6 linked regions of the Rattus norvegicus genome follow. The protein of the gene in region 4 purifies or fractionates together with the protein of the main gene of each other region. This does not show direct contact. Links are inferred from orthologs where the notes say so. Each region holds a gene or a part of one and is shown on either strand. Other genes may lie near its edges. The genes, in order: Ddx21, Lyar, Npm1, Rrp1b, Srsf6 and Srsf1.

What was found.
Region 1: the proteins of Rrp1b (region 4) and Ddx21 purify together in Homo sapiens (affinity purification with mass spectrometry; 3 studies listed by BioGRID and IntAct, with this or other methods). This does not show direct contact. The link is inferred for Rattus norvegicus from reciprocal best matches to the Homo sapiens genes RRP1B and DDX21.
Region 2: the proteins of Rrp1b (region 4) and Lyar purify together in Homo sapiens (co-immunoprecipitation; 3 studies listed by IntAct, with this or other methods). This does not show direct contact. The link is inferred for Rattus norvegicus from reciprocal best matches to the Homo sapiens genes RRP1B and LYAR.
Region 3: the proteins of Rrp1b (region 4) and Npm1 purify together in Homo sapiens (co-immunoprecipitation; 3 studies listed by BioGRID and IntAct, with this or other methods). This does not show direct contact. The link is inferred for Rattus norvegicus from reciprocal best matches to the Homo sapiens genes RRP1B and NPM1.
Region 5: the proteins of Rrp1b (region 4) and Srsf6 purify together in Homo sapiens (affinity purification with mass spectrometry; 3 studies listed by BioGRID and IntAct, with this or other methods). This does not show direct contact. The link is inferred for Rattus norvegicus from reciprocal best matches to the Homo sapiens genes RRP1B and SRSF6.
Region 6: the proteins of Rrp1b (region 4) and Srsf1 purify together in Homo sapiens (co-immunoprecipitation; 3 studies listed by BioGRID and IntAct, with this or other methods). This does not show direct contact. The link is inferred for Rattus norvegicus from reciprocal best matches to the Homo sapiens genes RRP1B and SRSF1.

Annotation. Positions count from the first base shown.
Region 1 is NC_086038.1:31,094,439-31,098,402, forward strand, and holds the start of Ddx21 (nucleolar RNA helicase 2), read right to left. Parts: upstream 2,801-3,964; 5' UTR 2,757-2,800; coding exon 2,670-2,756; intron 330-2,669; coding exon 1-329.
Region 2 is NC_086032.1:76,799,966-76,804,154, forward strand, and holds the start of Lyar (cell growth-regulating nucleolar protein), read right to left. Parts: upstream 2,801-4,189; 5' UTR 2,700-2,800; intron 1,851-2,699; exon of another isoform or gene 1,745-1,850; intron 1-1,744. UniProt on the Homo sapiens protein: Plays a role in the maintenance of the appropriate processing of 47S/45S pre-rRNA to 32S/30S pre-rRNAs and their subsequent processing to produce 18S and 28S rRNAs. Also acts at the level of transcription regulation.
Region 3 is NC_086028.1:18,245,742-18,249,241, forward strand, and holds part of Npm1 (nucleophosmin), read right to left. Parts: intron 3,164-3,500; coding exon 3,062-3,163; intron 2,299-3,061; coding exon of another isoform or gene 2,290-2,298; exon of another isoform or gene 1,976-2,289; intron 1,295-1,975; coding exon 1,220-1,294; intron 345-1,219; coding exon 306-344; 3' UTR 1-305. UniProt on the Homo sapiens protein: Involved in diverse cellular processes such as ribosome biogenesis, centrosome duplication, protein chaperoning, histone assembly, cell proliferation, and regulation of tumor suppressors p53/TP53 and ARF.
Region 4 is NC_086038.1:10,132,825-10,136,324, forward strand, and holds part of Rrp1b (ribosomal RNA processing 1B), read left to right. Parts: intron 1-610; coding exon 611-668; intron 669-1,503; coding exon 1,504-1,589; intron 1,590-2,390; coding exon 2,391-2,452; intron 2,453-2,896; coding exon 2,897-3,026; intron 3,027-3,500. UniProt on the Homo sapiens protein: Positively regulates DNA damage-induced apoptosis by acting as a transcriptional coactivator of proapoptotic target genes of the transcriptional activator E2F1.
Region 5 is NC_086021.1:172,007,595-172,011,871, reverse strand, and holds the start of Srsf6 (serine/arginine-rich splicing factor 6), read right to left. Parts: upstream 2,801-4,277; 5' UTR 2,672-2,800; coding exon 2,565-2,671; intron 2,366-2,564; coding exon 2,217-2,365; intron 956-2,216; coding exon 831-955; intron 730-830; coding exon 521-729; intron 369-520; coding exon 285-368; intron 187-284; coding exon 1-186. UniProt on the Homo sapiens protein: Plays a role in constitutive splicing and modulates the selection of alternative splice sites. Plays a role in the alternative splicing of MAPT/Tau exon 10. Binds to alternative exons of TNC pre-mRNA and promotes the expression of alternatively spliced TNC.
Region 6 is NC_086028.1:73,335,045-73,339,297, forward strand, and holds the start of Srsf1 (serine/arginine-rich splicing factor 1), read left to right. Parts: upstream 1-1,453; 5' UTR 1,454-1,577; coding exon 1,578-1,771; intron 1,772-2,190; coding exon 2,191-2,375; intron 2,376-2,725; coding exon 2,726-2,898; intron 2,899-3,095; coding exon 3,096-3,290; 3' UTR 3,291-3,660; coding exon of another isoform or gene 3,661-3,699; 3' UTR 3,700-4,253. UniProt on the Homo sapiens protein: Plays a role in preventing exon skipping, ensuring the accuracy of splicing and regulating alternative splicing.

The sequences.
Region 1 (3,964 bases), about 21 Mb from region 4:
CCGTTTGCTTCCTTCCCTTTCTTTGTCTTTTTGGGCTTAGGAGCGTCTGCCTCTTCCTCAGAAGGCTCCTCGGCTTTCATTTCTTTGGTTTTAGCAGAGGGTGCTTTCTTCTCTAGGGGCTCCTTTTTCTTCTTGGAGGTTTTGCTTTTAGAAGCAGGGTCATCTTGAGGCTCCTCCTCCTGCTTCTTGGCCTTCTTGGATTTAGGGGGACCCACATCATCCTCAGAAGGCCCTTTCTTTTTAACTGCTTTCACTTTGGAGGAAGCGGCCTCTTCCACTCCTTCTGTTGCCTCGTCAGTCTTAGATTTTGGCTTCTCTTTTCTAGTTTTCTAAAAATTTATAAAAGACACAGCAAAAACCGCAATAATGAATAAAGCTGCTATACTGTATAAGGCCCATCAATTCTGGATTACCACAGGACTACTTACAGTTGTGAAAAACACAGCTTTAGGCATTTCAACGCTGTAGAAGTTAAAAATCAACCCTGATGTTATACACGTACAGTGTGTGTGTGTGTGTGTGCAATCACTTTAAAAGGAGACCATGGATTTGAAATGGAGCAAAGTGGAAATTACATGGAAGGGAGGGAGGGAGGGAGGGAGGGAGGGAGGGGGAGTGATGATGTAATTAGAATCACAACGTTAGAGAGACAAGGTGTGGCTCTGGCGATCCTGGGCCACTCTGCAGGCCAGGCTGCTGTTGAACTCATGGAGATCTGACTGCCTCTGCCTCCTAAGATTAAAGTCATATGCTATTGCACCTGGCTTAATGTAATTTTAATTAAAAAATAAGTCTCACAATATGCTTTTAATACCACTTCTTAGATAAGTGGAAATAAGTATATACCAATAGTCATTAGCATGGGGGAATAAAAGAGTTCTTCAAACTAAGTCAGGTTTTATCAGCCAACCATTATAAAACTAATTTTTTTAGAGAGATTCCCAAGGCTCTAAACTACATACTCCAAAAAATGGTTCAGGAGGCAAAATTCTTACTGTGCCATCATGAGGGGTTGACAGGAAGCTCTAGCACCCACAGGGAAAAAAATGGGTATGATAGCACATGCTTGTCACCCCAGCTGGTGGGGGTGGAGTAGGGAGCTAGCCAGACTAGGTGAATCAAAGGGCTCCAGATTCGGAGAGAAACCTTGTCACTCCATGCTGGGGAAGGGTCGATACACACCTTTAATCCCAGCACTCAGGAGTTTGAGGCCAGCCTGGTCTACAGAATTCGTTCCAGAGTGACCAGGGTTATGCAGGTTAGGGTCTTGGTGAGGTGGGGTAGCTAACACTGCCCTCTAACTAGCTGTATGGGCAAGCACATCCATCCCCATACAGGAGCACACACTGTAACAGTGAACAAGCACTGCCCAAAGGTTTGTGTGTCCTCAGATAATTGCAAAAGCAGTTTTCTTTTCCCTCCTAAATTTCTATATGGTTATTTTGTCTTTTTTTTTTTTTTTTCCGGAGCTGAGGACCGAACCCAGGGCCTTGTGCTTGCTAGGCAAGTGCTCTACCACTGAGCTAAATCCCCAACCCCTCTATATGGTAAACACGCAAGAAGTTTGTACTTCACTGTGAATTCACATAGACACTATATGAAACAAACAAAAAACTTCATCCAATCTACCATTCTCACATGTGAAACTTTATTTAAAAGTACAACTCTTCATGTCGTGGAAAACTTGTAGTGATTACTAGCCACCTAGTAGTGCCCCAGACAATAAGCATAGGACCAAATCGCAATGGACTAACTAAGTTCTCACATAATAGCCTAAGGCAGTCTTTCTTTCTCAACTTTCCAAATAGTTCATATTTTAGTGACCCCCCAGCCATAAAATTATCTCGTTGTTACTTCAAAGTTTGCTACCGTTATGAATCATAATGTAAATCTAATATGCAGAATATCTGACAGGGTGAGAACCGCTGGGCTAAGGGATAGAGCTGCCACTCAGTGGCCCAGCACCTGCCAACACGTGAGCAGCCCAAGATTTGGTTCCTGGTACTATAAAACACATCTTAAAAATAATGGATCATGGACAATCTCTACGCCCTGTGAACATCTATCTGTTACATATGTGAAAAATATTAAGTCGAGTTTGGAACATAAACTCGTGGTCAGGTTCCCTCTTGACTTCAGCATCCCCCTGCAGAACACGCGGACGCAAACCGGGAACGCTGTGCTGCTCCCTGTGGTTTCCACCTAATCCAAATAATAATGCTGTTTCTTTAAAAGGCTCCTACCTTAAAAGCCCCGGAGACAGAAAAAAACCTCAACTAAGTCGTACTACATAGGAGTTCCGGGATAATTTTCGTCTCCTCTTACTTAGATCATTAGAGACTGTCACAAGTTAAGTCTTTTCATGAAAGGATTTAAGAAAAGACAAGGAGATTCAACAGTGCTCACGCAGATCATTTTACTGATGATCATCACTTAGACCATCTCGTTTTCAGCTTTTTTTTTTAAAGGGGGAATCGTGTCTGTGTCACAGCAGATGCGGACCATGTGCGCAAGTTTCAGACTTTGCTGTCTCCAGCTCCAGTCCCCACTGTGACGCGATCGGCAATCCCCTTCCGCACTCTCAAGCCTGGCCAGCGGGCACAGCGTGTCAGAGGGCCGACCACGCGCACCGGGTCCAGCCTGACCCAGCTCAGGGCCCCCAGGCTCACCTTCTCGCTTGGCTTCTGCAGCGTCTCCATACTCTCCTCGGTCCCTTCTGACTCCGACTTGGACGCACTGCGGAGTTTTCCCGGCATTATTCAGCAGGAGCAGCTCAGGCCTACCGGCTTCCACAACCGCGTGCAAAGGAAAGAGAGCGACAGAGAAAGCCGACCGCCTCCCAGCCCGGCCTCGCTCGTCACTTCCGGAGCGGAGCGCATCCGGCGGAAGTAGCGTACACCGGTGTGGCTGCGATTCGCATGGCTTTGGATGGGATCCGTCTGTGCAGCGTGGAGGAGAGAGCCGGCTAGATTTGGTTAGCGACCTTGAATCTGACCCTGCTTCTCCACTTCCCAAGTCTGGAATTACCAGCCGGCAACATTTTTCCACGAAAAGTCGTGCGATATGTACGCCACCTGTGGGAAAACTGATGGGAGGTGACAGCTAAACCCAGGTGCCTGGTGAGCACTGGAATTCAGGGACCAGCGAGATACCTTGGTCCTGGTGACCTGAATTTGAAAACAGAATCTACTATGCAGCCTACTACTTGTTTTTAAGCGCACCCGTGCAATGGCACTCAAGACATCCATATGCATGCCGCACAACAATATGAGCAATTTAAAAGAACCAGAATTGGCAGGGCGTATAGGGTGCACACCGCTAATCTCAGCACTCAAGAGCAAGAGGTAGAAGTTTGGCCCTTTATTCATGTGTGCACTTGATAAACTTCCTGAGCATTCTCCTGAGCATAGTGACAGGATTCTAATAAGCCCTGTTTGTCCTCAAGCACTATAGACCAAAGTTTCTCAATCCCTGGGTCGCTACTCAGTTGGGGTTCAACGACCCTTTTACCCTTGGTCACATATCAAATATTTACATTAAGATTCAATAGCGAAATTACAGTTACGAAGTAGCAACAAAATTTTATGATTAATAACAGGGCCTTGAGACTTGGAATGGGTTCTCAAAGATTCTTAAATTGGACAGTTTATTACTTCCATTAGATAAGGGAAAGTGGCCAATTGAATGATCAGTGACAATGTTAGTTTTGAGGTGCATCTCTGACTGCTCTTGAACTCAAGAGATCTACCTATGCTGGGATTAAAAATTTGCACCACCACACTGGTAATAAGTTTTTGAACTTCTTCTGAAGAGCCAGTGATTCAAGGAATGAGAGACAGTTAATCATAGTAGTTTTAAAAAATGAGAGTGGAACCGATTTTCTTTATGTGGGCTCTGACTATAGAACTCAGTTCTTCAAGCTTGCATCACGAGGTAGCAAGCACCATCTCACAGACTCTAAGAA
Region 2 (4,189 bases), on a different chromosome or scaffold from region 4:
AGCAAGGTCAGCAGTTCTGCTGCACAGCGAGAACAAGAGCCTACTGCCACCAGTCTGGACATCCTGACACATCGATGTAAGAACAAGAGGAAAGACAACTAATTGGATACCAAGAAATGGCCTACTGTGGTAGCATAGGCAACAGCTGTTATGACTAGCTAAAGGGTCCACTGAAAAACCAGGAAGCGCTTCTGCAATAAGGACAATGGAGAAAACACCCTGCTAACTTAGAGATAGTTTGGAGCTTTTCAACCTCTGTTACTGAGGACTGCTGTTTCTGGTCAAGCTCGAGAGGAGAGGGTGGGCTTGGATAAACCTTGGGATCCACGGGTGTGTCGCTGGGAAAGATCAGAATTAAAGTCCAAGAAGGACACTGGAAACAAGATACAGCAAGTGACAGAAGTGATATGGCAAAAAAATAAATAAATAAATAAATAAAAAATAAAATTAAAAAAATGCTGGCAGCATCTATGAAAAACAGGTCCCCATGGTCATGGCACAGTGTGAACAGCAACTCAGGAGAAGGTTGGAATCAAGACTGGAGCCATGCTCAACTGGTTTTCTACCTATTTATTGGGTATGAGAAGGGAATCAGTGTGCCCACCTGCTGGCTAATGAGATAAGATTTGTAAGGAGATTATTCAGATGAAGGGAGGGAGGGAGCCCAGAGTCACCTTAGCAGCATATCCACCTGGAGAAAACACCTTCCATTCGTGAGAAGTACGCAGTGCAGACTACAAAGAACAGAAAGCCAGCTCAACTGACCACCCAGCAGGGTCCAAGTCTTAGTCCAGGCTTAGGAGAATCAGAAGTGTGAAGGCCACATGCTATGAAACAGAATCCTGGGCTAAGCGAAGACAGCAACATCCTGTTAGCTTCACATTACTGTGATAAACACTAAAACCAAGAGCAATCTGGGGAGGCCAGAGGTCAAAATCAGGAGTCGCCCCGCCCACCTTCTTCTCTTTTCTAAAGATTTATTTTATTATGTTTATAAGCACCTTGCCTCTAGGTATGTGCCCAGTACTCATACAGGTCAGAAAGCAGCGTCAGATCTTGTGATGACTATTCCTGGTTATCAACTTGACTATATCTGGAATGAATTACAATCCAGAAATGGAGGGCACACCTATGATGCAGATCTTGAAGCTGAAAGATACAGGTTTCTAACCTGGATCTTAACATGGATATATTGAGGCATAGTGGCCACGGAAAGCTCAGGCCCAGGCAAGGTAGTACACGCCTTTAAACCCAGGAGACCGAGGCAAGCAGAACTTGAGTTCAAGTCCAGACTGGGACAGAGCAAGTTCCAAATCCAGGTGTGATGGTTCACACCTTTCATCTGGGCCACACCAGCTGGAGGCTCACATAAGAACATTGGAAGAAGGAAGGCTCACTCTTTTCCGCCTGCTTGTACTTACTTGCCAGCACATATGTTGAAACCTACTTCTTCAGGATTCCGGCTTACAGAAGAACAGCTGAAACACATAGCTGTGTGGGACTGAGAAACTACTAGACTCTTGGACTTCCCATTCACAGTTAGTTGTGCACTGTTGGGTTAGATGGACTATAAACTGTAAGTCATTACAATAAGTTCCCTTAATATATAGATGTTCCATAAGTTCTGTGACTCTAGAGAACCCTAATACAGATCTCTTAGATTTTGGGTGCTGGGAATTGAACTCAGGTCTCCTGGAAGAGCAGCAAATACTTTAATCACCAAGCCATGTCTGCAGTCCCCTACCTTGTCTCTCTCTCACTGGGAGTTGGGAGGCTTGCTGATTAGACCAGGCGAGCTGACTAGTGAGCCACAGGGATCCGTCGCCACACCTTGCTCTTTAACCTGGGTTCTGAGCATGAAAATTCAGGTCCTCATGCTTGTCTGTCAAGCACTTTACAGACTGGACTATCCCTTTTTCAACTCATGCACACATGATGACTACATTTGCCCCCCAAACAGCATATCTTAAAGGCCAGACTGGTAAATGCTCCCTTTAAACTTCAAGTCCTCCCCATCTCTGAAATAGGGAGTCCACCCACTATACCTAGACACAAGCCCCTTCCAGAATTAGTAGAAATCACAGGTGCACTGAAAGAGGAAAGCCACGCACATATCTCCACCCTCTTAGGACCCGGGGTAAGACCATGAGTGGGACATATGTTTCTACTGAAGCTCAAATAATCCAAGCCATTCCCCTGCCTTGAGGAAGGCAGTTCAAGTCTCCTCACCACAGCCTCACCTGAATAACTTGCAGCTGTTAGGTACTATGAAGACATTAGACGCTTGCCACCATTTGAGCAAGCCCCATATCCCTAGGCCTCAATGGCCAGAAGCTAGGCTCACAGGCTCACAGACCCCTATCATCTCTCTTACTTCTTTCTCCTGGGAGGTAGGTGCTGCAGGAAAATACATTTGCCGAGCAACTACTTCCCGTCAAGGTCTTTACCCTTGTAGAATTCACACACACCCCAAGTTAGGTCCTCTAGTATCCCTTTTGGACAGGAGTGGAGGTACCACTGGGCTAAATAGCTTGTATCTAGATCACTATTTGGGGATTCGCAGGCACTTAGTTAGGTCTTTGGTCCTCTAAGCTCAAGGAGCCCTCAGACCCTTTCTCCGGACCTAGTTCTCGAGATTCAGAGAAAAGCCCTCTCCCCATCAGCCAGCAAGTCTAAAGCCCTGTGAGGTGAGGACTAACCATGCCATCGGGCCGGACTAAAAACCGGGATGCAACGTCTCCAGCTCAGAACTCCAGATTTTGCCCGCGAGCGAGTCCTCAAGGAAGGCGGCCATGCCGCCATCGCCCTCCCTCCAGGCCCCGGGCTCCAAGCAACTCTCACCTCTCAGCCGACCCCGCCAACGGTCCCAACCGGCCGCCAGGAGCACGTGGAGCTGCAGCCGCCCAGCGAAGCACCGCCACCGGCTCGCCCAGCTTCCCCGCGCAGAACTCAATCCCGGCTAGCACGAGTCAATGCGCATGCGCATAGAGGCCAAGCCTCAAACGGAAGTGACGGCGCCGGAAGTTGCCGACGAGCTGCCGAGGGGGCGTTGTCGGAATGGTTCCGAGGCGGTTGGAGTCCTGCAGTTGACACCAGTTTGACGAGAACGAGTGTCAAGGAGGCGGCCGGGCGAGAGCGGCCTCCGTGGGTAAGGCGTCCTGGGACACTCGACTCGCGTGGGCTCCGGGTCAGCGCGGCTAGAGTGCGCGAGGCCCACTGACAGCGCGGTGTGATGGGGCCTGGCGGAGCACAAAGCTAAGATCCGTGCACTGGAGCGGGGCCTCCTCTTTCCTGCAGTCACCCTTGCTGCTGCGGTCTGCGCGCTCTTGGTGCCTGCGTCACCCCTAGATAGGAGAGGGGCCAGACCCCTTAGTCACGCCCTGCCTCATTCAGCGCATGGCCTTACGTACCTTGGTGTCCCATCGGTAGAATGCTATTATTGCAGCGCCTACTCCTCGGGACCTTGTAGGACTAAAAGATTTGTTTCATGTCAGGTGCTGGGTGGTCTTCTGCGGTTTAGTGGGTGCTCACTAGACGTTAGCTGTTCTCAACCTGAAAGACAGCATCTGGTATCCATTAGTTGTCATTATTGCTTAAAAGGTTGAATGAACGTCAAACAGGCAATGAACAGTATTGTGAGAAACATCGACCCAGGCATGGGCATTTGTTGGTGACTGGGAGGTTTCCTTCTGCTTGTTGTGACTCCTAACGCAAGGTACAACAGATGTGGTAGTTCAGATGAGAGAGATTTACTTTCTCACACTTCTAGAGGATGGATGGTCAGGAATGGGGTGTGTTCAAATTTGTTTGCTTTAGAGAACCGTCCTGGCTTACCAGTGGTCATTCTTGTTGTATCCCCGCACAATCTTCCCTCTGTGCCACTGCAGCACTGACATTTCTGCTGCAGAGCCCAACCGAATAGGCTGTTTTGAAAAAGCACAGTTCCCTTCCTAAAGGTCTAATTGCTACAGGTAAACCAAATTGTGAGGTTCTGGAGAATGCAACGGAATGCATAAAGAACCCATTTGAGTGGCATGGCCTTGTAACGTCAGAACTAGGGAGGTGAAGATAGGTGGATTCCTGGAGTTAGTGAGCCTCACATGTAAGTAAGAGACCCTTTCTCAAACAACAACAACAGCAAACCAAGGTGACCAGATAGCTCCTGAGGAACAATGCCTGGGGTTGGCTT
Region 3 (3,500 bases), on a different chromosome or scaffold from region 4:
TTTATTAAAATACTGAGTTTATTTCACATGTATATTTGTCTCCCTACCATTTCCACATCTGACCACCACTACTACTATGTCCTATCATAACATTCCATACATACTTAAAACCAAGTAAAGGGCGGAGTTCCATCCTTGAAAACTAAACAGGCATTTTAGACAACACATTCTTGGCAATTGAACCTGGACAACATTTATCAAACACAGTAGGGAAAGTTCTCACTTTGCATTATAAAAAGGACAGCCAGATAGCAACTATTACAGAAATGAAGACAGAATTATTTCAAACTGTTTAAACCATTTTCTTAAAGAGACTTCCTCCACTGCCAGAGATCTTGAATAGCCTGTAAAAAGGAAAAATGGTAAAGAAATGTTAACTTTATAAAATTAAAGTTAATGTTTTCATCATATAAAGAGAAAATGCAGAATTTTAACTCAAACATAGCCATGAATGAGACTCCTAACTAAATGGCTTAGCCATGACTTTATGGCCAATGCTGCCTCCTGTCTGTGTGGGTCAACCCTATTTAGGGACTCAGAATTTGAGTTTACAGTAAAGTCCAGGCAAGTATTACAAAGCAAAAGAACACAACCTGGAGAAACCCAAAGGGACATAACCTGTTCTTAATGAAGTTTGGATAGACACCTATAGCTCAGACTGATGAAACCCTTTAAATCAACTGTTCATACAGAAGGTCTAACAAAACCCATATTTCCTATTTACAACTAATAGAAAATTTAAATTCACACCCTTGCATGGCCCAAGTGACTCCACCACAATAAACCATACCATTTATCTCACATGCATGAGGCTTTTTAACCTATCCTAGTTTGATTTTACCAATATTGTTCTCCCCCCCTTCACTATCTGGAGAAGACACTACCACTCCCAAGAGAGCAAATATCAGACTGTGTAAAGCAGCCAAATGGAGCAAATAAAAAGCCACAGCCTATTTCCTTAGCCAACACACTACCAAGAGTAAAACTAAGTTCAGTAACCAAGAGATAATTGACCAACTATTTAAAAAGCTGGGGAAAAAATGTGCACTAAAAATTATTTGCTCAGTCTGCCAATTAAATTCTTTCCATGTATTTAAGTACTGTCTGTGGTTAGGAACCTTTTACAAGAAGCCAATAACTTAAGAGTCTAAAAGTAAGAGTCATAATAAATCACAATGAAAATTTTAGATTTGGTCATGTCCACAGAAAATTCAGTTACCTCCTGGTCAGTCATCCGGAAACAATTCTTCACATAATTAATGAACTTGGCTTCCACTTTGGGAAGAGAACCACCCTATTGAGGAAGAAAGCATTAATTATTAAGGACAAGCACAGAAGTGAGACACAATTAGAAAACTTCCAAAGACTTGCATGCCATTACACAAACTATCCCTCAACACTACCATTTGATTAAAAAAAAAAAAAAACAAAACATCGAGGACCAAACCTCAGAAAGAATGGTTTTTCACTGCTTAAAGTCCAATTCCTTCCAAACTGCCAGTTTAAAACTGTATGGTTCTACCAGCATGCAAATACAGCAATTTGGTGCCTATTATAATAAGTTAGTGTCATCACCTACCACCAAAAAACCAAATTAAATCAAAACTGTTTATAAAAGTGTTCCAAAAAGCACACAATCAAAGGGTTCTAAAATGCTACCCTCACTGTTGCACCGACCTGGCATGTTTCCAATTATGAATATAGGCAGTGAATCACAGTATCAGCAATGTCAGTTTTGCCACCAAAACTCTTACAAGCTAGGTACAACTGTAACCAGCATAAAGTTATCACTACAGAGATTTATCCCTATTCTAAATAAAGTCCACTTCTCTATAAATTTTAGGTTTTTTCCATTTTTATGCACTTAGCAAGTCTAAGGCTTCCAAATTCCAGATTCATCTTGAGTACTTAAATTGCCTCCATCACCTAGAAGATAATTCACTACAATTTAAAAATATTGTCACATACATCCTTATTGGTTCATTCAAAAATTTATTTCGAGCAGCTAAGGATACAAAGGTTAAAATTAAAACATGGTCAGAGTTAAGGCATATGCACAAGTGGTATAGAAAAGCAGTCAAGTTTTCTGCATCACACGAGTGAAAAAGAAAAATGCTTTAGGAAAACGATTGCTTCCAGCCTGCAAGGGGGAATGGATGGCCAATCAGGAAAGGGGATTGAGATTAAAATAGAAGACTTCAGTCTGGATTGTTGATGGTACTATATTTGTTTCTCCTTTTCCTCTTTCCCCATCTTTGGGCTTAATTTACCAGTAGTGCCCAGGAATGTTCAATGCGCCTGCAATTAAACCAAGGAGATAGGACCACATTAAAATGGGGGGGAGGGGCATCATTTTAGCAGTGTATGCAAGGGATAAAAAATAAATCAGCAACACCAGGAAACTTAAGTTTACAGTTTAAATAAGAAATATATGTGCTGGCCAAGTGCTAAATTCCAATCCGTTCGTGGTTGCAAAGGAAGAAACTTCTGAAGCCATGTGAGGCCAGGACAGGACTGGGCAATTTCCTTATCATTTCACATGTATACTCAGTATGTTGGAATCATAATGGAGAATCTTTAATTTTCCAATAATCATGTGTATTATTCAATTTTCTACACAAACATGCTTTATATAATAATGTATTAGTTCCAGCCAAATGGCCAAGAAAGAAATTCTACCTAAGACTAGATGAAAGCCTATTAGTAGCCACACATAAATTTCAGGTCATGGACTGAGTGTGCTTTGGTACAGAAGGCACAGAAATAACTCAAATTGTTGTGAAATACTTAAAGGTGATCCTTTTCACCTTAGCTATAATCTCAGGCAGCCAAACACTCGTGTCTTACTTTTCCAGCTGTTTTTAGTTTTACTGAAAACCAAGCGCCCTCTGCTGGTTCTACAGCATAACCCCAGAAAGGACATTGTAAGATTGGAGTGCACCCTTCCAAATTTTGAGTGCACAGGATTATTGTTATAATCTACTTTTTAACCTGAATTCCCATATTAGTACAATTTAAAGTGGGAGAAAGACGAATCTATTTAAAGGTAATTTTTACTCACTTTTTCTATACTTGCTTGCATTTTTGCCTTAATGTCTTCTACAGAGCTAGGTCCTTTGGGTGTTTTGGGAGTTTTTTCCTGTTTTTTGAAGGACTCTTGACCCTGGAAAAGTTTTTAAAATTGTTAGTACAGTTCTTAACAAATAGTAATTACAAGGATTTCTATTATCCTTACAATTCCTTTTATAGATAAAACAGAGAAGTTGCTAATATAAATTGATGCATTGTAGTAATTCTTCCTAGCTAGTCTCAGAGAACCAAGTAGGTCATCCTTTAAAAAAAATCAAGTCACAAGCATCTGTGATGGGATCTGATACCCTCTTAAGACTGTCTGAAGACAGTGACAACAGTGTACTCATATTTAAAAAAGGGGTTGGGAGAGATGCTTCAAAGTTAGGATAGGATAAAATCAAACTTGATAGGCCAACTCCTATAATAAT
Region 4 (3,500 bases):
ATTTGCCCAGAGCACAACCTAGAGGAATCTCTTGGCATTTCAGCCCTCCCCTCCTAACAGGAGACTGGAGTGCAAACCCTATTGCACAAGCACCAGCAAGGTGGCTCTGTGCTTTCTGGCTTTGCAGCATTTGGTACTCAGGATAGATTCAGTTTAGTCTACATCTTAAAAACAGAGTGGGGCATGGTAACATGCACCTTTAGTCCCCGAGCTTAGGGGACAGAAACAGGTGGTTTTCTCTGAGTTCAAAGCTAGCCTAGTCTACAGAGTGAATTCCAGGACAGCTGGGGCTGTGTAGAAAAAGCCTGTCTCCGAAAAAGGAGGGGTGGGGTGGGTGTTGGCAGTGAGATTGTTTTCCTGGAATCGTCCAACCTCCCACCACAGACACTTTCTTGAACACAGTTTTAGCATTTTTCCAGAAGCATATGGCATTAGCCCAGTAGTTGATTGAAGTTTGGAGTTACACATTTGATAAAGCCTGAGGTGTCAGCCACAGATCTAAAACAAGAAGCCCAGGCTTTCCCACCACAGAGGGAGAGGGATGCAGCCCGCAGCACCCGCATCAGTGTGACCACCTAATAACCGATGTTTTCCCCGCCCGCCTTTGCAGGAGGAGCTAGCGAACATTATTTCCCAACTCATCCACGTTGTTAACAGCTCCGAGGCTCGTAAGTCCTGCCGTTTTCCTGGCTCTGACTTCCTTGGTAGCAGGTCTGATAGCTTACCTGGGGAGCCTAGTCAGTGCTTTTCTTCTGGTCTGGGAATGAGTGATATGGCAGCCTCTGCTAGTGCTGAACAGAGGTCATATGACATTTCAGACACTGATCAGCTCCCAAACTCAGGCTGCCCTCACACTTAGAAGCTGTGACGCCTTTGCCACTGCACCCTGGCTGAGATTAGAGCCATCTTGACTATAAATCACTGTAATAAAGTGTAAGGTAACCCTGCTCTACCTAAAAGAAAAGGTGGAAATTTCTGAAGCTGGACAACAGTCAGTCCTGTTTGACACCTTCTGAATTCTGGCTGACTTACAACACCCAAGATCCTGCATTTGTTGTATAGTAAAGATTTGCGTTTGTTTATAAATTGTGCTGGGCATGGTGGTATATGTCTGTAATCCCAACATCTAGAAAGCTAAGGTAGGAGGTGTGAGAGGCCAGCCTGGGTAGCAGCCAACCCCTACATTCGAAGGAAGTGTTCAAAAGTCAGTAAGTGGGGAATCTGTGGATTAGATAATGTGTCTCACCCAGACAGCATGCACATCAGAAGGATGGATAAAGACCAGTGCCTTGGGAGCGCTTTGACCGAGACGCTGACGGCATCTGTTGTGATGTCTTTATAGCTGCAAAGGAAATCACTGAGCATAGTTAGCCATTGGCCAAGCTCCACCTGTCCAAGAATTCTGAGATAGACACGTAAAGAGAACTGGGTGTGTTTTCTGTCGTTCCTTCCTGCTATGTGCTCCTGCGGCAGCAGGGCACTGAGAGCCTCTTGTCCCTGCAGAGCACCTGTTTATTCAGACCTTCTGGCAGACCGTGAATCGAGAGTGGCAAGGGATAGACAAGCTGCGACTGGACAAGTACTACATGGTAAGGTGGTGCCTCCCCATGCGGACCGGAAGAGTTGACACACAGAATGTTCTGTCTGCAGAGTGGCAGAGAGCTGGGGTGCAGCTCGGCACTACTGCACTTGCCTGGCATTTTTTCTTCTCTTTCTGAAGCTGAGTTGGAGTTTGATAAAAGGGTTTCTTGTGTGTGTATTTGGAGGTGGGAGGTTGGTTTTGGTTTTTCAAGTCAGGTTGCTCTGTGTAGCCCTAGCTGTCCTGCACTCACTCTGTATACCAGGTTGGCCTCAAACTCAGAGATCTCAAGCCTTTGCCTCCCAAGCAAACCACTTCCCAGCTTGCTAAGAGGTTTTATAGATTTGTGAACAGTAGAGTTAAGAGATAGAGAGGCTGTTGGGAAGAAATTAACCCACACCCAAGAACATGGGTATGAGGTTCTCAGACAGAGCTTGCCTTGCCCGGCCATCTTCAGACCAAGCTTCCATCCAAAGCAAGAAAATGGTGAAAGTCCAGACGTGCTGTGGCGGAATCAGGCACGTGCCGAAGGTGCCTCTGTTCCCGTCTGAGCTGCTGGGAATGAGGCTGGGAGCGCAGATGTCTTGCATTGGTTTTGTTGGTTTTCTGGGGGTGCGGGGGAGTCTGTGCTGTGCCGTCTCTGGTCTTGGATAGAGGCACTTACTACCCCTGTCTGCCTCAATGCTGCTAATCCAGAAGCTGAAGCGATTTAAGGACGTTGTCTTGCTTTGGGGACCCAGAACTAGGGTCCTCGTCCTGCCAAGATAATCACTACGTTTTTACTCTTACTATAAAACATGCCGACCCTTAGCTGATCCGCCTGGTCCTGAGGCAGTCCTTCGAAGTTCTCAAGCGGAATGCCTGGGAAGAGAGGTGGGTAAACCATTTGCGTGGACGTGTGGTGGCGTTAAGAGCATGTCAGAGTTGCTGGGTGGTTCAGTGGTGGAGCACTTGCCTGATGGGTATGAGGCCCTAGTTCTGATCTTTAATGTGCTCCCCCACATCTTTATAGAACAATGGGGTCCTCTGGGATTCTAGGTAATCAGAAGCATGAATTGGCTCGTCTCTGCCTGCCATGCTTAGTGCCATGAGAAGCAAGTAGACGCTGAGCCAAGGGAGGGTAAATCCAGGGGAGCCCGAAACGGTCACTTGAAGCCAATGAAGAGCAGTTTCTTCTCTTGGGGCCTCACATTGACTTACACAGTACGAGCAGTAAATGCGTATTTTTGTCTGTTCTTTGAAAAGAGGGAGGTATTGGCGATAATGTCTTTAAAAAAACCAACTGTGTTATTGGTTTGTTTTCTTGCTGTTCTTCAGCCAAATCACACTGTTTCTGGACATCCTGATGAAGGAGATCCTGAGTCCCGAGAGTCGGTCCCCCAACGGAGTGAGATCCCACTTGATTGATGTGTACTTGGATGAGCTCTCCACTGTGGGAGGGAGAGAGGTGAGGAGCAGCGCTGCGCTGGGACCACCATGCCGGGGCTTGTTATGGGCACTGTCAGCACCAGCAGCCTCTCTGAGGCTTCTCCCCTCCTGGCACCCTGTCCCAGACAGCTAGTGGGCTGTACCTGTGTCTGGAAGTCTTACCTGTGAAGTAGGATTGAGCCGCACACTCAGCTGGAGTAGCTGAGGCAGGAGAGTCGTTTGAGCAAGGAATGCAAGGCCCGTGTTCAGGCCTTGCGGACACTGAAAATCTCAGCACTGACTACACATCTCACGTTCCAGGGCGGCCTGTGCCATGCCACACCACACCACACAGCAAGGCCCTGCCGCTGCCCGCAGAAAAACAGCGTCCAGAGGGAAAGGAAAGAAAGGCAGGGTGTACCGCCTAGTCCCAAAGCTGCGGGAAAGCCGGTAGACGGTGCGGTTACCCAATATAAGCCGACAAAAGGCTAGAAAGAAAGGTGCACTTTTATGT
Region 5 (4,277 bases), on a different chromosome or scaffold from region 4:
CCTTTTCCATTTTCTTTGGGGGACCGAGAACGTGACCTACTTCGTGACTTCCCATACTTATCCTTAGATCTGCTTCTTGAATGTGAATGGGAACCCCGATCAGACTTGGGCTTAGATTTGCTCTTTGATCTGGATTTCCTGCCCTTTGAGCGGGATCGGGATCGACCTTTGCTCCGAGACCTAGATCTGTACAAGAAAAACCAGATTTTTTTCAGTATTTTATCAGAAAACACTTGTACTCCATCAAGTGGTAAAATTAAGAGACCCAATACCACATTATTTACCGCGAGCGACTTTTTGAGATACTTCGAGATCTACTGCGGCTGCTTCTGCGACTCCTACTCCGAGATCTTCTTCTAGACCGTGATCTACACACAAGAGACAGTAACATTTTAATCTTTCCAAGAACCTGTTTGAACAACTTAGCTATGGCTGGAATATCTGCTTACTATAACCAAAAAACACTGTAAACACAATTAGGCAACAACTGAAAAATCACAAGCCTCCCCGAGCCCATTACCTGGATCTACTTCCAGAGTAAGAGCGCCTATGGCTTGTTCGTGGCTTATCTTCAATAAGCCGTATATTCCTGCCATTTATTTCTGTGCCATCCAGTTTATCCAAAGCACGCTTCATGTCAGAGTAGGATCTAAATTCAATTACACCCTCATTTGTTCGTTCTTTGTGAGCATCTGCATAAGTCACCTCTCCTGCTTGCCGCATGAAATCCTAAAACAGTTAAGACTGGTGAGCCTCAGAAGTCAGAAGCAAAACCATGCAGCCTCAACTCTCAGGGAAGCCACTGCCCTGTTTTCAACCTCAGGACGTACCTTTAAGTCTTGCCAACTGCAACGACTAGATAGATTTTCTACAATAAGCCTGTATTCTGTACGAACAGGTGGTCCATATTTGTCTCTGCCAGAAGTTCTCCGACTGCTGTATCCACCTCCACCACCTTTATCACACGGAGGGAGTAGTTAATGTATTGCAATGACAGGGACACATGTTTTTGAAAGTTAGTACAAACATAGCAACGTTTATTTACTGGAGTAGGACTTTGCTATTATACTGCTAAACCCTCGATACATTTGTGATTTGCCACAAATTAAATTAAGGGCAAGTCAAATAAGACTATATCCAACTAAACCTCTCCTACAATCTGTTAGAGAGTGACTGCTCCTTTATTCAATTTACCTCGCTAAGTTTTATTTTACAGAACATTGTAAAATATAAAACTTAACTGATTACATGCATTTCTACATTTTACAAAAATGTTTACTAGTTACACTAAGTACTTACATCACAGTGTGAGGTTTTTGGTGGTGGTTTGGCCACAAAACACGCAAGGTAACAGTCACCTAGTTCAGATTAACCAGTTTTGTCTAACCCTTGGAATCCTCACCATCACCCTGCGTCTAATGGCAAAAGGCTGCTGTCGTCATGGCTTCCGGTAAGGTCAGCCAAAGGGTCATAGGGCAAGGGTCACACAATGTATGGAAAAGCCAAGGCCAATCAGGAAAGGCAGTCATCTTAGCCTCAGTGGACACAGCCTCAGCCCCATTGGTCACTTTCAAATTGAAACATCAAGGACTTGTTAAAAAGTTTGAATTCAACATGCAACAATTTCAACATTAAACATTTCACATAACCAAAATCCCCCCAACCCCCTCCCAGTAACATGCCAACTAGTTCAGATACAGCATAAAGCTTATTTAGATTTACTTGGTGGTACTATGCCACATTACTTAGTTTAAAATGGCACTTTCTTTGCCCCCCAAGTCTCCCATCTCTAAGACTTAGGCTTCAAGCTCCTCCCCTCTCCCCGCCCCCTGCCCCACCTCCACCCCAGCCTTCCTTAAAACTTCCTCCACGCTAGCTAAAAGCACTGACAGATAAGCAAGGGGGAATAGTACAAATACAGCCAACCCTCGCGTTCAATAATGGCAGAAACCACGTCAGTGCCAGAGGGCCAACTTAGGCCACTCCTCCCAAACTTAAGTCAACTGGCCATCCGACCCCATTCCCCGCGCTCCGGTGTCCCACGGCTACCCGGGCATGCGTGGAGGTAGAGGAGCCTAGGAACACCCAGGGCCGACAACCCCCGGCCTCCGCGCCTGCCCGGGCTGGGGAGGTCCCACCCTGCCCACCCCGGTGACTGCACCCGCCCCGTCCCCCCCAGGTACCCAGGACGCGGAGCGCGCGGGGGTAGGACTCACTGCGGCTTCCGTAGCTGTAGCCATCGCGGTCCCGGCGCGGGCCCCGGGCGTGCTCTACGATCACGCGCTCGCCGCACAGCTCCTTGCTGTTCAGCTCGTAAACGGCGTCGTCCGCATCACGGGAGTCCTCGAACTCCACGAAACCGTACCTGAGGAGGGGCGGAGCGCGAGCCGCGCACCGGCGGGCGTGTCGTTAGCCGGCGCCGCGCGCTCCCGCGACCTCCCCCGCGCGCGCTCGAGGCGCCGCCGCCATTTTAGAGGCCCTGCCACGCGGCGTCCCGGCCTTGGCCGACTCGGTCCTTGGGGGATCTCTCCGCCTCGGGGCGCGGCCTCCCAGACCCGACTCACCCATTTTTGAGGTCGATTTCGAGGAGGCGGCCGTAGCCGCTGAAAAAGCGCTGGATGTCCTTCTCGCGGACGTTGTAGCTCAGGCGTCCTATGTAGACGCGCGGCATGGCCGTGGTGGGTGTTCTCCCGGAGGCTAGCTGAGGTGCGGCGGGCCGCGGGGCAGGGGCTGCGGTGCGGGTGCGGGGACGGCGAAGGCCCGAACACGCGCCTCACACCGCAGCTGCGGCCGAGTCAGCCACACAATGGTGCGCGCGCGCGCGCTGGCCTACGCTATAAGTGACCGGGGGCGGGGCGCGGCGCGTGACGTCGGCGCGCAGCACGTCCTCTCCCGCGCCGCGTTCCACTCCAGAGGGGCTGGGGCGGCTGCAGCGTGTGCTGGGCTAGGTGCGAGCCGAGCTCGCTTCCCTGATGTCCCCTGGTGCTCGGCACCCTCTTCCGAACACAGCCGAGACCGGGACCTTTGACTAGTACCCATTAATAAACTGTTCTTGTGCCCGGGCACGCGGAGAACAAAATCCTATTTCTCATTGGTTGTCCGGGCAGTCGGTCTAGACAATCTTGCTCTCTGATTGGTGTACTAAGAAAAAGAGGTTGCACTTTCCTTTCAGCGGGTAGCTCGTGCTGGTTTCGATGGGTATAGAGGACTCTTGGGAGTCGGACAGTTCCTTAGTTTCTCAGAGACCTGGGATCTGTCCCTGAGGTTTAGTGACCCGCAGGGGAGTGCTGTGGCGGATCTCGGTGGCGTCCCTCACTCTGCTCCGAGTTCTGACAGCTCTGAATCCCGCGCTCGCGGCGACTCTTCACAAAGGGACTATGGGTGGGCCCCATGCACCAACAGGCGGGCGCTGGAAGCTTGGAATCAGACCTTGTGGTTCTCCAAAACCCCCGACCCCTACCCTTACTGTCCTTAACCTGGTTGACTCCGAAGGCAAACTATATATGAAACAGAAACACACACATAGGAGTTTATGGAGGTGACATTTAACGCTGTAGAGGTAGATAAACAAAACACAGTCTCCCCCTCTCCGTGAGTAAAGTTAATTGACTACGATAGGAGCATGCCTTGGGAGTACTCGGAAATTAAGGACGGCCAAGCTTTGGCTAGAGAGGTAAGGAAACTGAAAGCAGACATAGTGTGATGGAAGCTGGGAGAAAAGACTGTAACCGAGCTAGTACGTGTTCTTCAGGAATTTGTTTTCTGCCCGGAATCTCCACAGCCCCAGGCTTTTCAACTAGGATGGGAAGAGGCGATTCTGTTATCTGGGCCAGACCGGCAATTAGAGTAGCAACCCAGGAGATGAGTTAATAATATTATCTGGAGGGAAGAGAACTAACTTCCTTAAGTTAGAACTAGAAAAAATATAGGTACACAGCCTTAAAAAAATATTCATGGAACACAGAATGAATTCAATACTTAAGTTTCCTTTTATCAAATTGTCAATTTCTTAAAACGTGTTAAATTTTATTTGTGAGTGGTGAGAAGACCGAAGCAGGTAAAGAAAGGTGCTTGCTGCCAAGCCGGAGGACCCGAGTTCGATTCTACAACCCACAAGGTAGAAGGAGGAACAACAGCAACAACAAAAAAACAATTTTTGCTAGTTGAAATCTGACCTCCTCATGCTTGTTATGCTTTCAATAAACAAATAACTAGGGCTGGAGAGATGGCTCAGCGGTTAAGAGCACTCACTGCTCTTCCAGAGGTCTTGAGTTCAA
Region 6 (4,253 bases), on a different chromosome or scaffold from region 4:
GCAGCAGATGGCTCATCTGATAAAGATGCTCCTCAAAAGCCTGACCACACATAGTGCAAGTGGTGAACTGCACTTTATTTTCTAACTTTCACACATGGGCTGGGGCATGACCCACCACCCCAAGGCACAATATGCATAAAATAAAATTGAAAACTAAAAATTACAGTGTAGAGAATCAACCTTAAAATTTCCGGGGATCCGATTTAGCATACTTATTCGAGATAGGAACTGCACAGCTCTGGCTGGCCTTGAACTCCTGAGATTCTGAGGCCTACTTTGAAAGGAATGCGCCACCACACCTGGCTGTCTTATTATCTAAACAGGAAAGGTTCTGGTTTTAGCCAGGAGGTGGTGACTCATCTTTGATCCTAGCACTTAGAAGGCAGCAGGATCTGAGTTCCAAAACAGCCAGGGGCTGTTCAAACCAAAACAGAAACCCGAAACTCAAAAACAATGCCAAGAAAAAGGTTTGTTTTTAAAAAATTTTAATAGAAAGGGTTTCCCTGCATGTCCCGGGCTGACCTTTAATAGAAATGTGTATCACAGAGTAGGTTTATCACCTCCTTGCCTCAGCTCCCAGAGTGATAGGATTTCAGGCACACAGACTTAAGTCCAGCTTAGTTTTGTTTTAATTAAAAAGCCTGTATGATTTCACAAATAAAACTCTCCTATTCCCGTTATTACAAAACAAAGAAGCAAAATTGTGGTATCCAGTACAAAAATCCTATTTCAGATAATCTCGGGGAAAAAGTTATCTCCCTAGACTAGCACCGAACCCGGATCTCGGCCCAAAGAAGCAGTTAGTATTTTATCACGTTTCCTTTTTCATCCTTTGAAAGGAGGAAGAAAAAAAGCGAAGGCACGGTTCATCTAAATAGATATGGAGGATCCGTCTAGACACTTTTAACTGTGTAAAATGCAGCCCACCGCAGGTTCGCAGAAGCAAAAGCCACACAGCTCCCCTTAGGCTGTTAAACGAATCTCCTGCAACTCGGCCGGCCGCACCGAAGTGCTAAAGTTGCCCAGGTTTCCGGAGCAACACCCAGCGTCATCTAGCTCCGCCCCCTACGCCTTTCCCGCCAAAGGCCGTTACCACCGCGGAGCATGTTGGGACACAGTTGCAGGCTAGGTTTCACCCAATCTTTTTAAAGCGCCGAGCTGCTTCCAGAGAGAGTTTACGCCAGAGGAAACCGACTATCCTGGACTCAGCAGGATTGGTAATAACCCCTTTAACCAGAGTATGTGACTTTTACCAAACGTCTGGCCGCTCCACCAGCCAATCATCCCATAAGCCCAGGACCCGAGGGACTTTTTCCCCTCCGTGCGGAGGGTGACGTCGCGCGTGCGCGAGCGTACTTCTCAGCACCCGTTACGCTCGTGCGCGTGCGCACTGAAATGGAATAGCCGCTTCCTCCGGCTTCTCTTCCTCCCCCTCCCCCCCATATCAGTGCGCCGAGCTGATAAAGGCGCCATTTTGGACCGGCCGCGGGAGACGTGGTGCCGCTGAGGGCTCGCTCTGCCGTACGCTAGGCTTGGTGGGAAGGCCTCTTTTCGAGTCCGCGCTTTTCGTCGCCGCCATGTCAGGAGGTGGTGTGATTCGTGGCCCGGCAGGGAACAACGACTGCCGCATCTACGTGGGTAACCTACCTCCAGACATCCGAACCAAGGACATTGAGGACGTGTTTTACAAATACGGCGCTATCCGCGACATCGACCTGAAGAACCGCCGCGGGGGACCGCCCTTCGCCTTCGTTGAGTTCGAGGACCCGCGGTGAGGCAGCGTGGGGCTTGCGGCCTTGAGGAGATAGGCTGGAGTAGTTGGGGAAGGCTCCGAGGCCTTAACATAATGGGGGAAGGAGGGGCTCCGAGGCTGGGAGCGAGGCGCTATCGCCCCTGCAGGAGTCGAGTAAGGAGCCGAGTCGGCGCGTTGTCTCCGGTGGCTGACCGCCTCGGACGTCCCCAGAGCCCATGCGCAGCCCCGGAGCGGGAAACTGAGGCGCTGAGGGCTGGCGTGGTGGTCGGGAGTCTGCCCGGCGTGTTTCTGGGTGGGGGAGGGGCCGGTCCTATTATGCAGCGCATGTGGGCTCTGGCACCATGGGTGCGCATGTGCGCTGTCCGCGGGTTCCCGAGTGAGTTAGCTTTGCCAGCGGCTCCCTCCTCATCCCCTTTGCTTTCTGTGATCACACGCAGAGACGCGGAAGATGCGGTGTACGGTCGCGACGGCTACGATTACGACGGCTACCGTCTGCGGGTAGAGTTTCCCCGAAGCGGCCGTGGGACCGGCCGAGGCGGCGGCGGGGGTGGAGGCGGCGGAGCCCCGAGAGGCCGCTATGGCCCGCCATCCAGGCGGTCTGAAAACAGAGTGGTTGTTTCTGGTGAGTTGACTTCGTGCGGGTTAAAATTTTTCCCGCGTGATTGTTTTGAGGTCTGCAAGTTTTCTGTTTTGCTTTAAACATGGGGTCTTAAACTACTTCGGTCTTTCGGGTGAATTTAGTAAATGAAGATTACTGTGGTGGTGATTTACCCAAATTAGGTTGCAGTACTAGCCTATGAAGATCCTTTACAAATAAATTTGGACTCTGGATCTGACTCTTACCAGCTCTTTACCTGGAAACACTTAAGTACAATCATTAAGTATTTTAAACTAATCTTTGTTTTAATGTACTTACACGTTTGATGTGGGACAGGTTAAGTAGTATTAAGTTGGAGGGACTCACTTTTTCAGGACTGCCTCCGAGTGGAAGCTGGCAGGACTTAAAGGATCACATGCGTGAAGCAGGTGATGTATGTTATGCTGATGTTTACCGAGATGGCACTGGTGTCGTGGAGTTTGTACGGAAAGAAGATATGACGTATGCAGTTCGAAAACTGGATAACACTAAGTTTAGATCTCATGAGGTAGGTTATACACTTATTCTTTTTTTTGGCCAGAATTGGATACAGTTTTCTTAACAGTGGAATTTGAAGGTAAGGATACAGGCAAGGGTGTCCGAGTAAATTACCAGAGACCTGGTCTGTCTTTGTATTCATTCAGCTTGTCTGAAAGACAGGTAAAAGCTTAGATCTTTCAATGGAAAGTTCTGTCTATCCAATAGGGAGAAACTGCCTACATCCGGGTTAAAGTTGATGGGCCCAGAAGTCCAAGTTATGGAAGATCTCGATCTCGAAGCCGTAGTCGTAGCAGAAGCCGTAGCAGAAGCAACAGCAGGAGTCGCAGTTACTCCCCAAGGAGAAGCAGAGGATCACCACGCTATTCTCCCCGTCATAGCAGATCTCGCTCTCGTACATAAGATGATTGGTGACACTTTTTGTAGAACCCATGTTGTATACAGTTTTCCTTTACTCAGTACAATCTTTTCATTTTTTTTAATTCAAACTGTTTTGTTCAGAATGGGCTAAAGTGTTGAATTGCATTCTTGTGTAATATCCCCTTGCTCCTAACATCTACATTCCCCTCATGTCTTTGGTAACTTGTATTTTAAGTGATGTCATAGACAGGATTGTTTAAATTTAGTTAATTTCCATGCTCTTCAGACTGTGATATTATGTAAATGTCTATTCTGCTCTGGTTTGTGTGAAATGGGATGTTGGGGGTGTTTGTGGTTATCTTACTTGGGGAAGTTCTTATGTTTATCTTGCTTTTCATGTGTCTTTCTGTAGACATATCTGAAGAGATGGATTAAGAATGCTTTGGATTAAGGATTGTGGAGCACATTTCAATCATTTTAGGATTGTCAAAAGGAGGATTGAGGAGGATCAGATCAATAATGGAGGCAATGGTATGACTCCAAGTGCTATTGTCACAGATGAAATTGGCAGTATTGACCTTATACTAAAAGGCGAGGGTTAAAATTTTATCTACCTTAAAAGACTTGCAAACATCTTATGCAGTTATCTTCAGCTACAATTGCTTTGCTTTTTAAAACCTTGGCAATTGTGGCAAAATTGCCCGTTTTGTAACAGTTATTTGCTCCCTTCCCCCCTTTTTGTTTTAATAGGGACTAATGTGGGAAGAATGGCTAATTTGTCACAGTGCTTAGTTACAACTGTTAATGTGTGGCCTGCTGTTGGTGTACATGTGGGTACAGGGTGTCTATTTCCAAACAGAGTATAATATCAATACTGCTAAATCTGCATGTCCTCTGTGTGACTGATAGAGCGTTGTTATTTCATTTTTTAAAGACAAAAATGACAGCAAAATATAGAATTCCAACATATTAATGTAGATAATCTAGTTGGGAATACTTTTGTCT